Macaca mulatta: one gene and its partners. The protein of the gene in region 3 binds, or shares a complex with, the protein of the main gene of each other region. Links are inferred from orthologs where the notes say so. Each region holds a gene or a part of one and is shown on either strand. Other genes may lie near its edges. The genes, in order: PPP4C, PPP4R3B, PPP4R2, PPP4R3A, PPP4R4 and PPP4R1.

Region 1 (4,086 bases), on a different chromosome or scaffold from region 3:
TACCCGGACTCTCAACTGCATGTCATTATCATTTCAAAAAATCAGAAAGTGACTTGACAAGGGTCATATTGTTTCTAGGTGACAAGGCAAAGATTCATACTGAAGACCACCTGATTCAAAAGCTCAGCTCTTCTGTGCTAGTATTTCTAGGAGCAGCAATTTCAGCTCAGACACTGCGGACCTCTGTGTTTCCACGGGTTTCACCTGCATCTCTGTGCCCTCTGGGCAAGCTGGTGCTCTTGACACTACCAGCCTCAGCCTGGGTCTCTGTTGGGTCCCCAGGAGGCCATAACCAGGTATCAGAGCTGGCCCTGCTTCAGACTGAGCCTTGGCCTAGTACCTCCTAGTTTCACTCAGTTTCAACTGGGCAGGACCCTCCACCCCTCAGTCTTCCATGGCTCCCTGCTGCCTCACACCACACATCAAAACCTAAATGCCTCTGCCTGGTTCTCAGTGACCACGGAGCACAGTCAAAGACCTGGATGCAAAACTAACTTCCCCTCCGACTAGCTGCGTGAGTTGGACAAGACATTATCTACTCAGAGGCTCAGTTTCCTCTGCTATGAAATGGGGCTAAATACTCAGCCCGCCCTGCCTATTCCTTAGGCTGTTGCAAGGAGCCATGGAGACTGAATACATAACTTCCTGCTAGTCTGCAAACTCCAGCATGCTATCCAAGCTTTGCCTACCATCACCACCACGCTGATTCAGGGCCTGTGACGGAGATAAGACTTCAGGGTTAAAGAACAGAGCCACGCAATAACAGGTATAAGTTCCTAAAAATGCCAATCAGGACTGAGGGAGAGGGAAAAACTAAAAACACCGTGGGGCTAGTCTGGTCAGGGACATTTTCTTGAGCTGGCAAAAGAGAAAAGCCACAGACAGGTGGTGAAAAAGAGGCCGACCCTGCTCAACATCCCCTCACAGGCCCTGTCTGGCTGCAGGGAGTCTATGTGAGGCAGGGCCAAGCAAAGAGCCTGAGGGCCACAGATTCAGGACCCAGCTCTGCCACGTCCTCAGTGGGTGACCTCAGTCAAGTCACCAGACCTCTACAAGTCATGGCTTCCTGTGTGATAAAATGGAACAAATGATTCCAACCTCACAGGATTGCTGGGGGGAAGAGATGGACAAAAGTTTTTTTACCAGTACAGGGCCAGGCCAACAGTGGCCCTATAAAGGCCAATGTTTATTGTTCAATAAACATAGGGTAATTCTGCGGGTTCTTCTGCCACAATTCTCCAGCCTGGTAGAAGCCACAATCACACAGTGCCCCAGAGGAGGCAGGTAATAATTAAACCCCTGACTGTTCCCCATACATCTCAGGGCCTCCACTGTTACATTCGTTCTGCTTGGAATGCCCTTCCCTCACTGGCCCTGCCTCCATCAGCTAGCCAAATTATCTTCATCCTTCAAGGCCTACCTCCACTCAAAAGCCTTCCCTGATGGCTTTAACCCATCTCATTATTGCCCTCTTCCAAGAGAAATAGAATACCTGGTGATTATCAAGCACGTATGCTGTACCAAGACACTGTGCTAACCTCATCTCAAGCACCAACTCACTGAACCTTCACAACCATCTTATTAAGTACTATTAACTCCGCTTTACAAATAAAGACACCTTAAGATCACTAACACAGCTAGAAAGTGGCAGAGTTCAGATTCAAACCTAGAGCCATCTCACACTGCAAAACCCAGAGCCTTAACCACTGCTTCATCCTACTTCCCACAGAACTCTGAACTGGCCTCCCTCCCTATCATGCTTAATTTTACCCTAGCTTACTTGCTACGATTTCTCAGGCTCCCACCCTGAACGTGAGTAATCCAACTCCACACCTTTTTGCATTATGGCCTGAAAAAGGACGGGACACTAAGAGCTGGCTTCCGATCCTCATTCCCTACTTGTGGGTAACTTTTAACATGAAAGTTCTCACCTGTAAAATGAGTACAATACCACCAACCTTTAAGGGTTGTTGTAATTAAAGGACTTTTATAAATCACAGGGTCTTTAACTTTCCTGTCTTAAATCTTTGATTTTTGGCTCTTTTACCACCTCCTTATTCGAGGACTGTCCCACAGTTCGGCCCCCCTCCAACAAGCTTCCGACCCCCGACAGATGGACTTGTTTTCTTGAGTTTCCTAAGTACTTTACGTAACATTCTTACTCTACTGGAAACACATCGTCTAATACTTTAAGTGTCTTTATCCGCTCTGTCTTCCCCGAGCAGGCTAGATTTTCCTCGAGGGCAGCGGTTCCATCCTGCTCCTCTCTGGGAAAGCTTCCAGGGCGAGGCAAGCCCAAAGTTCTCAGTTGGGTTTGCCCCAGGACAGAACCCGTGGGCGGCGGCTTGGCCTCCCTTCCCCAGGGCCAATGGGCTCACCTGGCTTTAGCGCACAGGGCCTTGACTTCGCTCTCCTTGATGAGCTCGCAGCGACGCAGCTGCTCGATCTGCCGGTCCAGGTCGCTGATCTCCGCCATGGCCCACCCCCGGCGCGGGTCAGAGTCGGGGCCGCCGCCCCCTCCGCACCGCACAGGGGTCTCCTGGGAAAGGCCAAGACGAGCCCGCGGATCAGAGTGTCCGTGCGGGGCGCGGGGCGGACAACTCGATTCTAGAGCCGGCCCGGCTCCCCCACCCCCGCCTCCCCTCACATCGGCCTTAGGACCCCCCAGCGTCCCACGGCGCGGCCGCAACCCCGCTAACTCCCGTCGAACCCCGCGGTCCCGCGCTAAGGACGGTGACTTAGAGGAGTCTGGCAATATTACCGCCGCTGCGACTCCGGTTCCGGCTCTCCGGCTCCCTGCCTCCCTCTTTCACTCCGCTTTGGGCCGCAGCCACCGCCGCCGCCGCTTCTACTTCCGGCCCCGCCGCGGAAGCAAAGGGAAGCCAGTTCCGCCGCGCGCCGGATGTGGCGTCATACACGCTCCTCTCCCTCCTTCGCAGCGACCGCTGCACCACTTCCCCAACCGCAGATGGGGAAGAAGCTGGAGGATCCCGGTGGCGGCCAGGGGCAGTTTTGTGGGCTCTGTTGCTGGGCGATGTGGAGGCTGTTAGAAACCCTAGAACAGTCACCTCCCCTTTCATTTTATACAAATGTTTTAACAGCTTTCTTTCTTTCTTTTTGAGGCGGAGTTTTGCTCTTGCCCAGGCGGGAGTGCAATGGCACGATCTCGGCTCACCGCAACCTCCGCCTCCCGGGTTCAAGCAATCCTCCTGCCTCAACCTCCTTAGTAGCTGGGGTTACAGGCATGCGCCACCACGCCGGGCTAATTTTGTATTTTTAACAGAGACGTGGTTTCTTCTTGTTGGTCAGACTGGTCTCGAACTGCGTACCTCAGGTGATCCGCCCCCGCCCCCCCTTCGCCTCCCAAAGTGCTGGGATTACAGCCGTTAGGCACCGCGCCCGGCCACAACTTACTTTTTTTTTTTTTTTTTTTTGAGACAGAGTCTCCTCTGTCGCCCAGGCTGGAGTGCAGTGGCCGGATCTCAGCTCACTGCAAGCTCCGCCTTCCGGGTTCACGCCATTCTCCGGCCTCAGCCTCCCGAGTAGCTGGGACTACAGGCGCCCACCACCTCGCCCGGCTAATTTTTTGCATTTTTTAGTAGAGACGGGGTTTCACCGTGTTAGCCAGGATGGTCTCGATCTCCTGACCTCGTGATCCACCCGTCTCGGCCTCCCAAAGTGCTGGGATTACAGGCTTGAGCCACCGCGCCCGGCAACTTTCTTTTTCCTAAATTAGAGACAGGGTCTCTCTCTGTCGCTCAGGCTGGAGTCCGTGGGGCTATCATAACTCACTGTCACTTCGAACCCCTGGGCTCAAACCATCCTCCTGCCTCGGGCCTCCCAAAGTGCTGGGATTACAGGTGTGAGCCACCGCACCCGGCCATCCTCCATTTCAGCTAGGGAAACAAGCAGAGCTGGGGCTAGGCTTTGTAACTTTATTGCACTTTTTAAAAAATGTTACATATTTTTGTTATTTTGTTAGCCTTCCCCACCACAATCCTTGGAGGATCCAACTTTGTCTTTTTAAGTATTGCAGCCCCAGTGGTTAGAATAAGGCCTGGCACCGTAGGCATACATAAATACTTG
Region 2 (3,500 bases), on a different chromosome or scaffold from region 3:
TGGCTAGACAAGGAAATATTAAGCTGTAAGGAAATTATAAAATCACAGTCTTACAGAATTTTTAAAAAAATGACATCATCTAGTACAACTATTTTATTTACTTGAGATTATATACATAAATATTTTGGGGAACTACAATGCTATTGGGAATAAATTAGCATTCTTTCTAATAACAGAATGACCATCACACATAAATACACAAAATAAAATTCTGATATTTCAAGGATTGTTTCTACTTTAAATGCAAGTAAAGAGTTTCACTTGCTCCAGACCAATTTCTATAACAGCCAGTACTACAGCCAAAATTTGAACTAGTCCCTCACCATTAAAGGCAATTCCTGGCCAGGTGCGGTGGCTCATGCCTGTAATCCCAGCACTTTGGGAGGCCAAGGTGGGTGGATCGCCTGAGGTCAGGAGTTTGAGACCAGTCTGGCCAACATGGTGAAACCCCGTCTCTACTAAAAATACAAAAAAAATTAGGTGGGCGTGGTGGCATGCACCTGTAATCCTAGCTACTTGGGAGGCTGAGGTGGGAGATTGCTTGGACCCAGGATGTGGAGGCTGCAGTGAGCCGAAATCATGCCACTGCACTCTAGCCTGGGTGACAGAGTGAGACTCTGTCTCAAACAAACAAACAAAAAAAAGCAATTCTTCTTTATTTCTCAATTCCCAAATTTTATTACAAAAGATTTTTTAAACTTGACCCTCAATGCTGTATGTGGAAATTAAATTGAAAAAACAAAAACAGGCCAGGCGCAGTGGCTCACACCTCTAATCCCAGCACTTTGGGAGGCCGAGGCAGGTAGATCACGAGGTCAGGAGATCAAGACCACCCTGGCTAACACGGTGAAACCCCATCTCTACTAAAAATACAAAGTTGGGAGGCTGAGGCAGAAGAATCGCTTGAACTTGGGAGGCGGAAGTTGCAGTGAGCCAAGATTGTGCCACTGCACTCCAGCCTGGGCGACAGAGTTAGACTCCATCTCAAAACAAAACAAACAAAAAAAAACAAACAAAATAAAAACAATGACCTACAGTGTTAAACAAATCTCTTGTCTTCATCTTTATAACTGGGACAAGAAATTACTCATATCTCTAAATAGTCCAATCTCTGAACAGCCTCCTTATTTGAAACTGGCTCCCCTTTGAGATTTGATGAGGCTGGCAGAAAAGGCATGGGACACTAGGTGTACACAGCACATGTCTTTATTAGTATCAAGCCCATACCTAGTATGCCTGTTCTAAATAGGAACAACTACTTTTTGACTCAGATTCATGAACAATAAGCATAAAGTGGTCATGAAAGTTAGTTGCAAAGTAACTGGTCTTAGTTACTACATTTCAAAAATAAGAACTAAATCCTCGACTTTCAGACAATGCCTTCTCATAACAACGTCAGAAAACAAGCTATACATTTTCAGGGAAAAAACAACAGAATTCAACTAGTTTTCTATTTTTAATACTGGAGATAGTGGAATTTTTTCTTTACAATACAGACAAAAATAAATTTTTGGATTTTGTTTTTATGCCAAAATATGCTTTTCTTAGCCTTATATAAGTGCATTACACTTAAAGTAGAAAAAAAGTTTATAATTTGCATGTATTCGTAAAGTATGAATTTATACTTACCAGGGCAAATTGTGTTGTTTTTGTTTGATCCAACTATATTATCTAATAAAAAAATTAAAAATTAAAATCAAATACTTCAGTAATAATATCCCACCTTTCCCTAGTACTTTATAATATACAATGCATGACTTCAATCATAATTTCATTTTACCCTCAAAATAACCATTAAGACTTAGTTGCTTTGGCCGGGCGCGGTGGCTCAAGCCTGTAATCCCAGCACTTTGGGAGGCCGAGACGGGCGGATCACGAGGTCAGGAGATCGAGACCATCCTGGCTAACACAGTGAAACCCCGTCTCTACTAAAAAATACAAAAAACTAGCCGGGCGCAGTGGCGGGCGCCTGTAGTCCCAGGTACTCAGGAGGCTGAGGCAGGAGAATGGCGTGAACCCAGGAGGCGGAGCTTGCAGTGAGCTGAGATCCGGCCACTGCACTCCAGCCTGGGTGGCAGAGCGAGACTCCGTCTCAAAAAAAAAAAAAAAAAGACTTAGTTGCTTCAGCAAAATTATAACTATATCTGCAATCTTTTACAAAAGTGGATGTAGCTATAGAATTATTAAAAGACAACATAGCATATATATTCTGATAAAAAGTAAGATTACAACCAGGGATAAAACCAACATATCTTCTTTTACCTTCTCCTATTCATCATTCAACAATTAGGATATTTCTCTTCATCTCATTTTTGTTTTTTTAATTTTAATTTTTTAAAATAATATTTGCATTTGATCATCCATTATTCATCTCATTTTTAAAAACAGAAAATACAGGAATTTTTAAAACTCCAGAATAATAAATGTGTTTATGCTTTAAATTTAAAAAACAAAAAACTCAATTAAGTAGGCCATTATAAATAAGTTCCAATTTCTAGGCATACATTCTAGAGCACATCAAGGCACATGTGCATAGGGAAACACAAGAATGTAACTGGAGCATTATTTGTAATAGCAAAAAGCTAGAAACAAATGCACATTAGAGGCAGAATGGCTCTATTACAGCATACTCATAAGAGAGGATTATGTAGGAGTTAAAATTAAATAAGAACTCTATTTCAATATGAATTAGATCAATATGAACAGGTATCAATACGAACAGATCTCAAAAATAACACTGGATAAAAAATATGCAGAATAATACGTATGACAGACATTAAATTTATAGCAACTTTGAAAATATGAAAAATAATACCGTATATACACATCATAACAATATAAGTAAACACAGGAGTGATAAACTCCAAATTCAGCATACCTTGAGAGATGGAGGAAGAGGGGGTAGAATGGGAATGGGAATGTGAAGGGGTACATACGAAACTCCAACTATATCTGTAATGTTTTAAAAAAAAATCTGAAAAAAAATATGGCAAGTTAGTTTTGATAAAGCCAACAGGGAGTATATGAGTGTCTGTTATACTATTATCTATATATTTCTGTAAGCCGGAAGTGTTTTATTAAAATGAACATAAAAAATGCATTATTTTTATTTATATAAATGGAACCATTCTGCAAGAAAACTCTCTGTGATGTGCTTTTGTACCCATTCACCTTGATATTTTGGGGAATTATTCAGTTGATACATCAAAATTCAATTATTTTAACTGCTATATAGTATTCCATTATTTGAAAAAAACATATTTTATTCATTTTCCTACCACAAACAATGCAGCAACATTCTTGTACCTGTCATGCATATGCACAAACATTCCCTAGAGTATATACTCAGAAATGGAACTGATAGTATTACACAGGGTGTGCTCATGTTTCAACTTACTAGTTTCATAAAATTCTCCTAACTAACTTCCTTTTAAGTGACTCTTCAGGTTAACAAATATTTTCAGATAGTGGCTAATGTTCTATTATGCTCCACATATTTC
Region 3 (3,326 bases):
GCACTACAATTAAAATAAAAAATATCAAAGGTCACAGGATCTTAGGTAGGTTTACTGACAATTTCATAAATATTCAAAAGAAAATCTCAAAATTTCTAAACTTAAATTTGCTTCATTGTAACATTTTTGAAAAAATTTTTAAAAATTTACATGTTTAATTTTTCTCCCCTCTTGGATATAGTAAATCAATATTCAGATTTTAACTATTAGACATAGTCATAAATATATCATCTAGCTGTTGTGAACTTGACAGTCAAGTCAGTCAGTAGTATACTATCCTACAAACATAAATGGATCCAAATAGTTTTGGTATTTATAGTCATGACGATTTAAGTAGTCAAAACGCAAAACTTGTGGTTGCCCCCCAAATCACCCAAAAGCATATGATACAGTGTCAGAAACTGTTTGCATCAGTTTTAGAAGCCCATCTGTGTATTTCAGGTATCTGAAACTTAAAAAAAGGGGATTCTTCCATATTTTGATAAAAATGTACTCGAATATTTCATAACATTAATATTTATTGCTTTATATGAATACTGTATTGAAAGCCCAAGCATTCAGTTTACACACAGAAATTATACAATTATATACCGCTTCACAAAGGCAGTGAACACATTACATTCTACAAAATCTACTTTACAGAAATTTAAAAACTCTAAATATCAAAAGGTACAGTTGAAGAAACAGGTATAAATTTGGCAGCCAGTAATTTTGACAGGGAAGTTGCAGTTTGCATGACTTTAAATATGTAAATTTGAAAATATTGAATTTAGAGTAATCATTGTGCTTTGTGTTGATCTGAAAAATATAACACTGGCTGTCGAAGAAGCATGTTCAAAAATATTTAATTCACTCCAAAATGTCATACAAATTATGGTGGTTTCTATGCACCCCTAAAGCTTCAGTCATTTAGCTCAGGTACATACTAAAGTAATATATTAATTCTTCCAGTACAGTGGTGTTCCATACCATTGACATTTGCATACTCTAGAATAATTTAGAAAGACACGTGTAATATTCACAATGTTCAGAAAAGCAAGCAAAAGGTCAAGGAACCTGCTTGGTTCTTCTGAGATGGTCTCATATCAGCTTCATAAACATTCATTCTACAAAATAGTAAGCTAACATTTGAACACAATTTCCAAGATAAAGCATATTTTCTCATAAATAATGAAGTCTTTTTCTCAGGCACCTCAGAAGTATACAAAAGAATTTGAGTTTGAACAGATCTCTTGGAATGTGTTTAACCTGGTATTTCAACAGACTTAAGATTTCCAGGGTTTCACAAGGGCCAGATTTTATTTCAATTACTCAGAAGAGAAAGAAAATGTCTTCTGAAAGAGGTGAACTCAATCATTACCAATAGAAAAAGTATCCACTGTATTCATCTCTTATAGAAACAGAAAAATATAACATTTCCCCCCTTAGAATAATATATATATATGTATGTATATATGACTTAAAGTTCCATAGTACGTAGCCAAACAATAAAATCTGGAAACCAGCATGAAACCCTATAATTCACATGTTAAAATGTTGAAACTATGACCAAAATATGAAAACTGCTAGAGCTATCAGAAAGAGACAAGACAAAAAGCTTCTTGCATATGTATAAACTAAAAGTGATAATCTCAAAAAACTTTTCAAAATTATAATTACCTTCCAGTTTAAAAACTTTAATCCTAAATTAAAAAAAAAAAAAAATCTATACACAAACCACTGATTTGCCCAGACCAAAAAAAAGAAAGAAAGAAAAGTCAGCGGTAAGGTAAGCAGGACCCAGAGGAGCTGATATTCACAGTTCTTACATGTACAACTCTTTCAGGAATTATCCATAAAGTACTTTATTTTACAACCTGCTTCTCTTGTAAAACTAAAGGTCCACTTTATTACATAAAAGTTTTATACAGTGTTAAAACCAGAACTGTATGTAAAATACTGCATCTAAATGTTTCTAAATAGTTAGTCTTGTTCCATTGGTTCATCGGTGACTTCTGTGGCTTCATCATCATTTTCCATGGATGATTCTGAAAGAATCTCTCCAGTTTTACTGGAATTGGATCCTACTAATTCTTCTGTTTCACGGCAGTCAGAAGAACCACTACTTACAGGGCCTTCGTTTTCACCACCTTCAGAATGTAGTAAATCTTTCTCAGCTTGAGACACATCAGATTCCTCCATTTGATTATTTTCCTCAGAAGTCTCTTCATTCACAGTTAAGGCATCATCAGATTCTTTTTCTTGATTTTTTCTTTCTGGGATCATTTCTCTTGATGTCATAAAAGACTCTAAAAATAAGCAAATGTTGTTGTAGTTAAATTTTATTTTCAAAATACCTCCACAGTTAAGTTTCATGAATTCTGATATTCTATAGTTCAAATCACATCCCCTGAAATTCAGCAGCAACTACATACAGGTGGGAGAAAAGCCCAACATCAGCATTATAAGGAGTTCCATTATGTAAAATTCTTTCACGAAAAAAATGAAGTACAAGAATTTGAGGATCTCCTTACTCCACCCTTTTACAGATGGTCTCTAAATACCTTCTTCTTCCTCTTCATCCTCTTCTTCATCCTCTTCTGTACAGTGCTGCCGGGTACAACGGCTTTCTTTGTCTTTATCCTGAGATGAAGATGATGCTTCTGTTTCTTCTACCATAACTGAAGAAATTTCACTGGAAGTTGTCTGACTGGCTGTTTCTCTGACTTCACTTTCTTTGTCAAACCTGAGTCTTTTTACCTCATGCCCCTCAGCTTCCACAGCATCTTCATCTGGATGTTTATTTTTCAAAGGGCTAACTGAGGAAACTTGTGATTCAGATGTCGAAGAGTCACTGTAAATGTTTTTTTAAAGTGTCATTAATAAGATTATTTTCCCCATCTTCTACATCCCCATTTTTAAGGTTAAATAATGTTTTAAATTGTATTTTAGTGTCAAAGTTAAATTGTAACACCTGAGCAAAGAAAAACACAAGAGAATAATTTCAAGGTAACCTAAACCGTTTGATGAATAATTCCCAGGTGGACTCAGAAAAGCTGTATGACCTTTCTGTGCAATTCTCCAGTAAGTTAAATATTCTCCTACAATAAACCCACAAGTCTTCCATACACACATACTCTCTAAGTCCTCTCCCTCAATTAGTCTTCCTTCCCTTAAAATGATACAGAAAATTTGAAGATAAAAATAAAAGGTGTCCTTTTATGAACTACAGTGAGAAACGATTCACAAAACCAATTTATTTATAAAGATCTTTTCTCTTTTCAAGTAACTTTCAGAAATAACAAATAAAATGGATCATATCTACTTTACTTTTAGACCCTACATAA
Region 4 (3,259 bases), on a different chromosome or scaffold from region 3:
TTTCACTGTGTTAGCCAAAATTGTCTTGATCTCCTGACCTTGTGACCCACCCGCCTCGGCCTCCCAAAGTGCTGGGCCCTTGTGAGCCACAGCGCCTGGCCTTGTTCTTTTCTTATATGAAATGTTAGTGACAGTAGATGTTTAAGTTTTCTTAAAAAAATAAACCATAACTGGCAAAGTAAAGTCAGAAGTATCCAGATATTTAGATTATTATTTCCCCACAAAGGCTTTATCTCGGTATTAGGAAAATTTATTCGAGAATAACTGAAAACCTTAAACATTTCTGTGAATGTTCTGACATACAAATTTGAAGTTGCAGTTCTAAAATGCAAAATACCCAAGTGAGAATTCACACTATATTCAGACTTTTGCATTGGTCATAAAAAGACTTTCAGAAATTTCTCAACATTTATATAAGTTCAAGTGGTGGGGGGGACTCATCCTCTAGTTCGCGAATGTTAAATCAGTTCTAGGTGGCAGTAACCAAAGGGAATCTTAGTAAAAATTGTTGAGAAAGCTTAAATTGGAAAAAAAGGGGGCAAAATGGGAGTCAAAAATGTACCTTTGTAGTAATAGCTGCCGTCTGAGATGTATTTTTAGGTACGGATCCAGGAGAGCCTGGAGATCCTGGGGATCCAGGTGATCCCGGAGAACCAGGCAGATTTGTTGTAGATGACTGGCTGGTGAGGTTAGTCTTCGTTCCACTGGACAGGGAAAGCTTGAAACTTGGGCTCTGCCGTCCAGAAAGATTTGTTTTCAGAAGCACTTCCTTTTCCTCACTTTCTTTTACTAAAAATGAGAATACTGTCAATAGTTGTCCCCCATACTCATTCTTTTTTAAATTTCCCCAAATGAGGTAACACTAAAATACATTTAACCAGCTTACTCCACTGGGTAGAAACACTGAAGTTCAATTTATAAATGAAGCTTACCAAAACACTAAACAAAATTCCATTCATTGGATCTTACTCCAGAGAAGAAGTGAAACCTTCAGAATCATATTCAGTATCGCTACCCTTCCTGAAATAGTATATTCCTTATTCAACTCAAATTAAGAAAACTTAGTCTCTGCCTGCACAACACTGCTATTCAGTCACATCCCATAAAGCAATGGAGTCTTTAAAACCTATGCCATCACACATTCCAAGCAAATATTAACTAATCATTTTGTCAAGAAATAAGAATAAATCTAGAGTGAGAAAGCCTTAATTTTCTCTTGGCCATTTTTTTCCCACATACATTTCTTCCTTTCCATGAATTTACTTATTGGATCCATAATATCATCATCATTTTTAGTTTTGTCAGATGGAGACACTACAGCTTCCCCATCTTCCATGTCATCTTCATCTGTGTTAAACCACATCTCTTCTTCATCTTCTAGTGTTCTGGCATCTCTTCGATATCTATGATTCCTCAAAATGGAACGCATACTACGAGCAGAGAAGAAAGAGTAAATACAATCATATATGGACTTAATTGTACTGTTACAGATGACTTATTAAATTAACATAGGGAATTAACAAGAAATTTACAAATATTAAAATATCAATGTAAATCCAGGTAGATTAATGTACAAAATTTTAAAGAATAATTTGTAACTTTAGTAACTTGTAAATTTAAAGCAAGTAATATAATGCTCTGATTTTATTTTGAACACATGAAGCCTCACTGCCACTGTTTGGTCTTTTTGTTTTTTTTTCATTATCTAGCTTGATACATGCCTAAGGTATTATACTAACAACCAGCTAAATCTTCAGGGAAACATTTATGCTGACCCTTACAGGAAGCTACAATTTCTATTTGCTATCTGCTGATTTGCCAGTTCCTTGTCAAGCCAAATAATATCAAATAAACAATAAAGCCACTACCACACAACTTGATGTTGAACGAATATGTTTAAATGTATGGTCATTTACCTGTCAAGTTTGGGATTATCTTGCCTTTCTCTTTGTTGTTCAAATCTCAGTTTTAATCCTTTAAATGTCTGTACATAATCTACATCTTCCAGTGCTTTCCAGTAATTTTCAATTACATGAGCAGTTAATGATTTTATATCTTCCTACAGAAAAGAATAGCAATGAAAAAATGATAGGAAAATGTCATTTTAGCAAGATGAGGCTTAATTTAATAAATTCATACCCACCAAAAGTAGCTTAATTTCATAAAATTACATAATCTTAGAGATAGCCAAACAATAAAAAATGGGAATAACATATATTGGCTACTAAAATAGTCCCCAATTTATCTATGGGTCTTTTTTTTTCTTTTTAGATGGAGTTTTGCTCTTGTTGCCCAGGCTGGAGTGCGATGGTGTGATCTCGGCTCACTGCAACCTCTGCCTCCTGGATTCAAGCGATTCTCCTGCCTCAGCCTCCCGAGTAGCTGGGATTACAGGCATGCACCACTATGCCTGGCTAATTTTGTATTTTTAGTAGAGATGGGGTTTCTCCATGCTGGTCAGGCTGGTCTCAAACTCCTGACCCCAGGTGATCCACCTGCCTCTGCCTCCCAAAGTGCTAGGATTACAGGTGTGAGCCATTGCGCCCAGCTATCTATGGGTCTTTGGGTCTTTATCTATGGTCTATGGGTCTTTACAAAGTAAATGCCCAGGTCTTGCCCTAGGTGATTCTGATTCTGATGTGTGCGCTGGGTATGTGTATTTTATTTTTTTAAGAGATGGGGTCTCGCTCTGGCACCCAGGTTGAGATATAGTGGTATGATCATAGCTCACTGCAGCCTTGAACTCCTGGGCTCAAGCAATCCTCCCGCCTCAGCCTCCCGAGCAGCTAGGACTATAGACATGCACCACCATACAGGGCTAAGTTTTAAAGAAAAAATTTTGTAGAGATGGGGTCTTTATATGTTGCCCGAGTTAGTCTCTAACTCCTGGCCTCAAGCAATCCTCCCACCTTGGCCTACCAAAGTGCTAGGATTACAGGCATAAGCCACTATCCCTGGCCATGGACATTTGTTTTACTAATCAATTTTTATTTTAGGTTCAGGGGTCCATGTGTGTATTTGTTATATGGGTAAACTGCCTGTCACAGGGGTTTGGTGTATAGGTTATTTCATCACCCAGGTAGTAAGCACAGTACCCAATAGGTAGTTTTTCAATGCTCACCTTCTCCCACTCTCTACCCTCAAGTGGCCCTGGTATCTGCTGTTATTCCCTTCTTTACTTCCATGTGTACTCAAAGTTTAGTTCCCACTTCCAAGTGAGCACACACAGTAGCCATGCATATTTTAAAAGCATGTCACA
Region 5 (4,245 bases), on a different chromosome or scaffold from region 3:
TAGGCTAAAAAAAGTAATTAAGAAAATTGAAGACCTGGAGAGGGAGTTTTTGTTTGTTTGTTTGTTTGTTTTTACAGGATCATTCAATGAATAACATGGGACTGGAAACATGATCTGTAAACAAGAAAGGAGAACAAGAAACTTGCCAGTACCTGGAACTGGCACTGAGCTAAGGAAACAAGGATGACAAATATCCTAGGAGGTAAATTACATCAGTTTTCAAAATCTGATTCTGGAAAATAAGAGTGACTAATTTGCCAAAAGGGAAAAATATGTTGTGTAAGCTAATGAAAAATTTTAAATATACACAAAATGCTGTAGGAAATTTGTTTCTAAAGGATTTTAATCAATTAAAACATCATTAATGGTCACTGTACTAGTTTTTAAGATGCTCAATCTACAAGACAATGTTTTAAATAGTTCAGAAAAATCTTGTAAATATTCGCAGTAACCATTTGCCTTAAGCAATTCTGTAGAGCCTGTGAAATGGTTTGAAATCAACTAAGTTTCCAAAACCCCTCAGACAAAATCATAAAGCTTGCATAGCAAAAGTACTACAAACAGGATATCCTGAACAGCAAAATGAACTACCATATTTGTGGATTTTTTTCCATATAGTAGATCCCATATAATGTGCCTACTCTACAATGAACTTAAAACTAATCCTTGTATACTCAAGTCTCATCTAAACTTACTGAATCTTAAGTGAGAAAAACCAATGCCAGAAAAGAAAAAAAGGATGAGGTTCAACTCAAACCATCTGCTCTTCCTCCTCCAAGCAACATTCTATAAATTAGGTGTTTTATTTAAATTCTCAAATTCATAAGTCCACAGCCAAATCTAATGTATAATATAGTTAAGTACTATGCACACAAAAGTACTCTGTTCAAGTGGCTAAGTAAATCTGAACATAACGGGAACATACATTTTAGAAAGCATTGATCTCTGCTGCCACAGGGGGAAAAAAAAGAGCAATTTCACAGAAAGACTAGGAAATACCTGAGCAGATAAACAGCCCTTTCAATATCACTGAGGTCTTCATCGACTGTCAATCTTTCTATTTCTTCTGGTGTCTGTCAAGGGTAAAATACACATTTATGCACCACAAACATTGGGTCAGTCTTGCCTCCCAACCTCCCAGTGACCCTCTATGAGGATAAACGAATGAAAAAGTTTCACAATTAAGCATTAACAATGAAAACTAATCAAGGAGCTGAGGATACCAGGCGACATCAATCACGGAAGTCTCTAATTGGGTGGTCGAATTTGGGGAGGGGACTGTTTTTTTTCTGTTTTTATCCTTCTAGCTTCTGGATTGCAGCTTGAAAATCGCATCGTGGCTTCAGAACCTTGGCTGAAATCCATTTCATACGCATGTTATAAAACGAATAAATACACACACTTTTATCTCTAATACCTCACGGCTATTTCTCCAGCATTTTCCACCCCAAGAAATGCTAAAAGGGGGATGGATGAACACTGCAGCCGAGCAGGCATGAAAAGGACAAGATCTGGAGTGGGGGAGGGAAGGAAATCAACTCTGGGGCTGGAAGAAACCAGAGATTTGAGATATTGCGGCAGGTGGGAGTGAGAGGAGCTAAAGCAGCTAATTAAGCGATGGCCAGGGGAAAGGGGTCCTGTCCGTAAACTAGGTTTGCTGGCGCTAAAGGTTGGAGCCTCTGGGAGGAAGATGACTCTGCGGGGTGGGAGAGCCGGTGGGGGTGGGGGGAGCAAGCTGAAGGTTGACTCCCTCAAGGGATTGGGGAGCAGGGTCCCAGCTAGAGTCCTGGAGGGGTTGGGAGGAAAGGATGCGCGGTGACTCAGGAGGGCGGCAAAGGGTCGCGAGGGCTTGTAGACGGGGACCAGGACCACACTGAGAAAGGGTGCTGGCTGGGAAGCGAGAGGAGGCCGGGCTGCCTCGAGGGCAGAGGGACCCGAGCTTGATCTGACTTGGTGGGCTGGGGGTGAGCGGACGGGACGCTGGGTGGTGTCTCGGGGAGAGGTGGGGGGAGGAGTCGGGAATGTGTGGACCGAGGGGTGGGCCTGGGGCCAGAACCCGGGCGGCGTCAGCGGACCAGAGGTTGGGGAGCCCAGGAGAGGACCGGGTAGAGGTGGGCTGCGGCCTCGAGGGGCAGCTCCCGCGGGGTGGGGCGGGGGGCGGAAGGAAGGGGGTCCGCGACTGAGGACGCTGGGGCTGCCCCGAGGGCTGGGGCTCGGCCGTTCCTGGGGGTGAGCCGGGGGGATTCGGACGCCTCAGAAGGGGCAAGGGCCGCGGGGCTGGCGCCGGGTCGGGGCTGGGGCAGGGACCCGTCCCTTGCGGATGGGGATCCAGACTAGAGAGGACTGGGTCCGCGCTGAGGAAGGGTCCGGGAGGAGCTGGCTTAGGGCGGCACGGCAACAGGGGCTGGAGGAGGACGGAGGGGCCGGTCCGAGAGGGTCCCGGCGGCCCGAAGGAGGGGAGGGTGGTGGGGTGGGGCGGAGATCAGCGCGGGGCAGGCGGCCGGACGCCCTGAGGGCAGGTCCTCTCCCCGGGGCGCACCTTGAGGCTCCGGCGGACCGGCCTCTCGATGATGGTGAGCTCCTGCAGGTCCTCCATGTAGCCGAACAGGCTGTTCTGACTGAAATCCATCGCGGCGGCGGACGGCGGCGGATGCATGGACCGCCGGGCACCCTCGCCGCCCGGGCCGGAGCGGCCCCGGGATGCCGGACGCGCTCAGCCCCGCGGCCGCCCACCAGCAGGACTTTCTCCCGCTCTTGGCCGCCGGAGCCTAGCGTGAGGCTGGCGGGCGGCGGGAGCAAGAGCACGGCCCGGCGAGGGGGCGGGGCGGGCCCGGCGAGGGGGCGGGGCGAGGCGCGCGGGCGGGCTGTGGGGGCGGGGCCAGGGGCGGTGGCCCGCCACCTTGCCCACCTCGGCCCCGCCCCCTCCCGGGTGCCGCGCGCACGAGGCAGGACGCAACTGCCGCGCAACGACGCGGCGGCCCCGCCACCCCTCTGCGCCCGTTCCTCGCTGTCCTCCTAAACCCCCGTCCGCCCCCAACCAAGGGCGCCCCACCCCACGGCGCGTGCGCAGAGCCTTTTGCCTCCAGCAGCCGGCTGAGGCGGGCTGGGGGCGGGGCCTGGGGGCGGGGAGGCTGAGCCAATGAGAGCGGAAGCAGAGGAGAGTGAGCTGGCTGGGTTGCGGCTGCACCTGCTGACTTAACTAAGTGTCCGGTTATTCCCAGGACCGCCCACCCCAGCTGGCGGGTCGCGAACCCAGAGACCCCCCTAACACAACTCCAGCCCTAAGGGGAGCGCTGAGTGCCCAAAATAAGCAGTTAGAACGCGGGGTGCCGGGCTGACGGGGGAGGGGGCTGTGGGAATACAGCCCTGGAGGGGCTGGCTTTTGGGCAAGGGCAGCATTCGGAAAAGGCCTCCCGGAGAAGAGTCACTTAAACTGAATCTTAGCTTTCCCAAAAGAAATAATAAAAGCAAGCCCGTCTGGGGTTGAAGCCTGGGTGTGTTTGGTTGTGTTTGAGAAGTGCCGTCAAAGTAGAGCTCGGGGCTCGGGCACCGAGGGCTTGGCGAGGTGGGTAGAGGGAAGAGGACCTAGGTCGTTGGTGAAGAGAAGCCCTGCTCTGGACAGTCACGCTGAGTCCCTTGCACTTGGTTCTGTTAAGAATGGGACGAGATGGAAGGGGAATTGGGGAGGTTTTTTTGGACCTTAGGGACAAGTTATGTTCGTACTCCAGCTCGTCAGTCAGTCAGTAAGGCCCTTTTCTTTTTCGTTTTTATTTTCCACTCGTTCCTTCTCCACACCCATTCTTCTACCCGCCATATACACCCTCTCCTCTACTAAGGTATGTCCCAGTTCATGCACCTTATACAGCCTCAAAAGATACATGGTTTGTGTCTGTTTTTAACATACGTGAACGGCATTGTGATAAGAACTCATTCTGTTCCTTGTTTTCCTCTCAGTGTCTTAGAGATCTATCCATGTGACACTATACAACCAGAGTTCATTATTTATGACTAATAATAGTATTTGATTTGTGTGTCTATCATATTCTACTTATCAATTCCTCAAATAACGGACAATTAGGTCGCCAGCAGGTCCTTGCTACCACAGACTATGCTGGAATGGGTGTTAGACGTGTCCCTTACAGAACATAAGAAATCGAGTCCCTGGGTCATGAAGTCCACAGTATTTGGTTTCACTCTGTCATGTTGCCCTCCAGATGGCTTTGCCATTCACACCCACCAATGGCA
Region 6 (3,417 bases), on a different chromosome or scaffold from region 3:
GTCTGAATGTGTGTAGAGCAGAACACGCACATTCCAGGCATGTGGTGTGTGGTGTGGAACATGCATGTACAGCAGGCACGTGGGGTGTGTGTGGTGCGTGCCAGTGAAGAAGGGGCTTGGCTGGCTGGGAGGGAGGGGCCAGCAGATGCCCAACAATGGGGACAGGTGATCCTAGAAACAGCCAGGCTACCGTAAGGTTCTGTTTCTTAAGAATAAGGAAGAGGATGAGAGAGAGGTAGGAAGTCAAAGAAGACATTCTTCTAGGAGAAAAACTCACAAACAGGTAAGCCCAGGGCCTCGCTTACCTGGCAGACAAAGACAAAGGCTTGCCGACCAGACCACTTGGGACATCTGCCAAAGTTCTCCACAAGTTCATTGATGAGGTCCACTCCGAACGTTGGTGGTGTTGCCGCGTGCAGCTTCTTCACCATCTCGCTGACCTGGGAGGGTGAGTGTGAAGTGAGGAACAGCTTCCAATCTAGGATCTTAGAGTTTACTGGTCTAAAATTTTAAAAGTTCAATACATACCAACTTGTAGGAAATCCAACGAACAGAAGAAACCTTGTCTGCACACAGATTCAGAGCAATGGGACGTAAATAGTCATAAACATCTCTGGGACTATATAACTCTAGAAGTAAAATCAGCTGTCTACAAAAAGGAATTACAAAAAGATAATGTTTAAAAATCGGCGAGACAAATGAAAACAGGTTCTCATTTAAATAATCTGCAATACTGGATTACGGAGCACCTGTCTCAAACACATGCAAAGAGGAGCGACTAAGCGGACCTCTCCTGTCCAGTTACCTCCAGTCTCTGCATCTGGAAACGCACTTACATGCTATTCAAGTTCCGTAGAGTGTAAGGAAAACAAAAGCCGTAGAGCTCTGCATCCATGGGAACTGAGAAAGCAAAGCACTTCCTAGTATGTTCAACTGGAACGTGGCCCACACTGATCCATGGTTACAGTGTGGAACGTGCTGAGAAGCTTCCATCTACAATCAAGTTTCTCAGTAAGAAGTTCCCGCAGGGGCAGGTAGTCTGCTGTGTACCTGTCGGGGCTCTGAGGAGCCTTCCTGGAAGGGACTCGCTAGGGATAACAGAGGGAGGGTGTCCTCCAGCGACCTTCCCATCACATCTGAGGGGCCCTGAGACTTTCATGACATCCACCAAGCTAACCTGAAGGCTTCAATGATGCCCTTGAAGAAATACCTTGGATGTGAGACTTTTGCCTTTCAGATTTTATGTTCGAGATGATTTACATTTCTAATAAGCAGGAAGTCAACTGTAACATGAACGTAGATTATGCAGTCATGACAATGCACCTGTGCATACAAACATACATCCTCAAACAGACACACGTACTTTTTGACAAAGTTCAAAATCAGAATTCCAAATAGGACATCAGTTTCTGCTTAGAATACAGAAAACTGCAAGAATGTCACTGACCCTACAGTAGAAAAAGCTATATAAACTTCAAGATCTTTTCTTGAGCCCATCAGAGAGCTGGGGTTGCAAAGCACCCAAACAGCCTAACTTTCCCCCTCAGCAGAGCCCGGAGGGACAGGGCACCTGCCAGCACATAACAGGGTGGGGAGAAATCAGCTCGAATTGTAGCCAGCTGCCCAGGGCCAGATGGTGGCTGGCACGAGCATGGAGTGGCTCAAGCAAAGCCATATGTGCCCGACACAGGGAGCTCACATCCCCAGGCAACCTTCTGACCTTCTGACTTCCACAGGGTGCCTGCCTCCCATGGGTGCTTCAAGAAAGACAGTCAGGAGAAACAGGAGCGGTGTCTCATAGCAGGCAGAAGCGGCTGACGGACAGCCATGAATCACCAAGCACTCTACTGGGCCCTTCACTCACACAAAGCAAAAGGCTTAACCTGCTGGTGGAGGGGCCCAAAGCCTGTCTACCCTGTGGGCCAGCAAAAACGCTGCAACTGGGGGAGAGGAGAACTAACGCTCCTTATTCTAGGAGGAGCTGCAGGAAGTCCTGCCCGAGACCAAGCACAGACAGGAGGCCCCACCCATTACACAGGGGTGCAGGTATAGCTCAAGCCTGGGTGGAATACTCGCACTACAAGACCACTGGTGCCCCAGCTCCCACCCTCAGCAAACGGCAACGGTAGTGGCAGCCCACAGTGAGGAAAACTGAAGCCCCAAATACACTGAAGGTAACCACAGCAATGACAAAACGCAAGCCCAGCTTGATCCTGACTAGCTGGACTCACATCCCGGCACTACATAGCGGAAGAGGAGGCGTGCATTTCGAGTCAGAAGTGGGAAAGCCAGAACTCAATGGAGAGGCATTTTTAATACACTGAAAGACAAACTGTCAGCCCCACATCCCATACTCAGCAAAGACGTCATCTGAAAATACACGTGAGGTGTATGATCCGGAATATATAAATAGCTCTTACAACTCAACAACACAACTTAAGATAAACAACCCAATTTAAAAATGTGCAAGAGACTTGGATAGACATTTCTCCACAAAATATACACAAATGGTTAACAGGCTTATGAAAAAGTGTTCAACATCATTAGTCATTAGGGAAATGTGAATCATACCACAACGAGGTGCTGTTCCACACCCATCAGAACAGCTATCAATGATAAGCGAGTGATGGATATGCTAATTGCCCTTATCTAACCACTATCCAATATGTATTGCAACATCATTACATACCTTATAAATATGCACAATTATTATTTGGCCAATTTAGAAATATTTTTAAAATTTAATAGGAAAATAGGTGTTAGTGAGGACATACAGAAATTGGAACTCCCATACGTTGCTGATGGGAATGTAAAATGGTACAGCTGTTGTAGAAAAGTGTGGCAGTTCCTCAATGAATTAAACACAGAATTACCATATGGCCTTGCAAATCCACCTCAAAATAACTGAAAACAGATTTCAAGGATTAAATCTTGTACATAAACGTTCCTAGCAGCACTATTCACAAAAGACCACACACCCAACCCAAATGTTCCTCAACAGATGAATGCACTAAATGAATGTGGTATATCCATACAATGGAATATTTACTCAACCACAAAAAGGGAGGCAAGTTCAGCTAGAGGATACAATATGGAGGGACAACTGAAAGCATTGTTAGATGAAGAAACCAAGCACAAAAGGCCACATGTGGTATGATTCCACTTGCATGACATGTCCACAATAGGCAAATCCATAGATAGTAAGTAGATGCTTATTGGACATGCATTTTTCTTTTCAGGAGGTTAACATTTTAGAACTAGAGGGAATGGTTCCACAACATTGTGAATGTACTAAATGTCATCAATAGCAAATTTGGCTATGTGTATTTCACCATGATAAAAATAATATAAAAATGAACTAAAGACATTTTCAGGAAAAAAAAAAAAAAGTTGAGGAAATTCACTGACAGTAAGACA

Evidence for each region.
Region 1: PPP4R2 (region 3) and PPP4C share a complex: the UniProt entries of both Homo sapiens proteins name them as parts of the PP4 complex. The link is inferred for Macaca mulatta from reciprocal best matches to the Homo sapiens genes PPP4R2 and PPP4C.
Region 2: PPP4R2 (region 3) and PPP4R3B share a complex: the UniProt entries of both Homo sapiens proteins name them as parts of the PP4 complex. The link is inferred for Macaca mulatta from reciprocal best matches to the Homo sapiens genes PPP4R2 and PPP4R3B.
Region 4: PPP4R2 (region 3) and PPP4R3A share a complex: the UniProt entries of both Homo sapiens proteins name them as parts of the PP4 complex. The link is inferred for Macaca mulatta from reciprocal best matches to the Homo sapiens genes PPP4R2 and PPP4R3A.
Region 5: PPP4R2 (region 3) and PPP4R4 share a complex: the UniProt entries of both Homo sapiens proteins name them as parts of the PP4 complex. The link is inferred for Macaca mulatta from reciprocal best matches to the Homo sapiens genes PPP4R2 and PPP4R4.
Region 6: PPP4R2 (region 3) and PPP4R1 share a complex: the UniProt entries of both Homo sapiens proteins name them as parts of the PP4 complex. The link is inferred for Macaca mulatta from reciprocal best matches to the Homo sapiens genes PPP4R2 and PPP4R1.

What each region holds. Positions count from the first base shown.
Region 1 is NC_133425.1:28,485,439-28,489,524, forward strand, and holds the start of PPP4C (serine/threonine-protein phosphatase 4 catalytic subunit), read right to left. Parts: upstream 2,801-4,086; 5' UTR 2,762-2,800; intron 2,540-2,761; 5' UTR 2,477-2,539; coding exon 2,379-2,476; intron 1-2,378. UniProt on the Homo sapiens protein: Protein phosphatase that is involved in many processes such as microtubule organization at centrosomes, maturation of spliceosomal snRNPs, apoptosis, DNA repair, tumor necrosis factor (TNF)-alpha signaling, activation of c-Jun N-terminal kinase MAPK8, regulation of histone acetylation, DNA damage checkpoint signaling, NF-kappa-B activation and cell migration.
Region 2 is NC_133418.1:69,049,252-69,052,751, reverse strand, and holds part of PPP4R3B (serine/threonine-protein phosphatase 4 regulatory subunit 3B), read right to left. Parts: intron 2,975-3,500; coding exon 2,879-2,974; intron 1,672-2,878; coding exon 1,630-1,671; intron 1-1,629. UniProt on the Homo sapiens protein: Regulatory subunit of serine/threonine-protein phosphatase 4 (PP4). May regulate the activity of PPP4C at centrosomal microtubule organizing centers.
Region 3 is NC_133407.1:136,556,174-136,559,499, reverse strand, and holds the end of PPP4R2 (serine/threonine-protein phosphatase 4 regulatory subunit 2), read right to left. Parts: intron 2,834-3,326; coding exon 2,544-2,833; intron 2,289-2,543; coding exon 1,963-2,288; 3' UTR 501-1,962; downstream 1-500. UniProt on the Homo sapiens protein: Regulatory subunit of serine/threonine-protein phosphatase 4 (PP4). May regulate the activity of PPP4C at centrosomal microtubule organizing centers.
Region 4 is NC_133412.1:164,713,020-164,716,278, forward strand, and holds part of PPP4R3A (serine/threonine-protein phosphatase 4 regulatory subunit 3A), read right to left. Parts: intron 2,060-3,259; coding exon 1,917-2,059; intron 1,431-1,916; coding exon 1,240-1,430; intron 790-1,239; coding exon 563-789; intron 1-562. UniProt on the Homo sapiens protein: Regulatory subunit of serine/threonine-protein phosphatase 4. May regulate the activity of PPP4C at centrosomal microtubule organizing centers.
Region 5 is NC_133412.1:167,449,268-167,453,512, reverse strand, and holds the start of PPP4R4 (serine/threonine-protein phosphatase 4 regulatory subunit 4), read right to left. Parts: upstream 2,801-4,245; 5' UTR 2,657-2,800; coding exon 2,540-2,656; intron 1,074-2,539; coding exon 1,000-1,073; intron 1-999. UniProt on the Homo sapiens protein: Putative regulatory subunit of serine/threonine-protein phosphatase 4.
Region 6 is NC_133423.1:80,509,600-80,513,016, forward strand, and holds part of PPP4R1 (serine/threonine-protein phosphatase 4 regulatory subunit 1), read right to left. Parts: intron 650-3,417; coding exon 529-649; intron 441-528; coding exon 306-440; intron 1-305. UniProt on the Homo sapiens protein: Regulatory subunit of serine/threonine-protein phosphatase 4. May play a role in regulation of cell division in renal glomeruli. The PPP4C-PPP4R1 PP4 complex may play a role in dephosphorylation and regulation of HDAC3.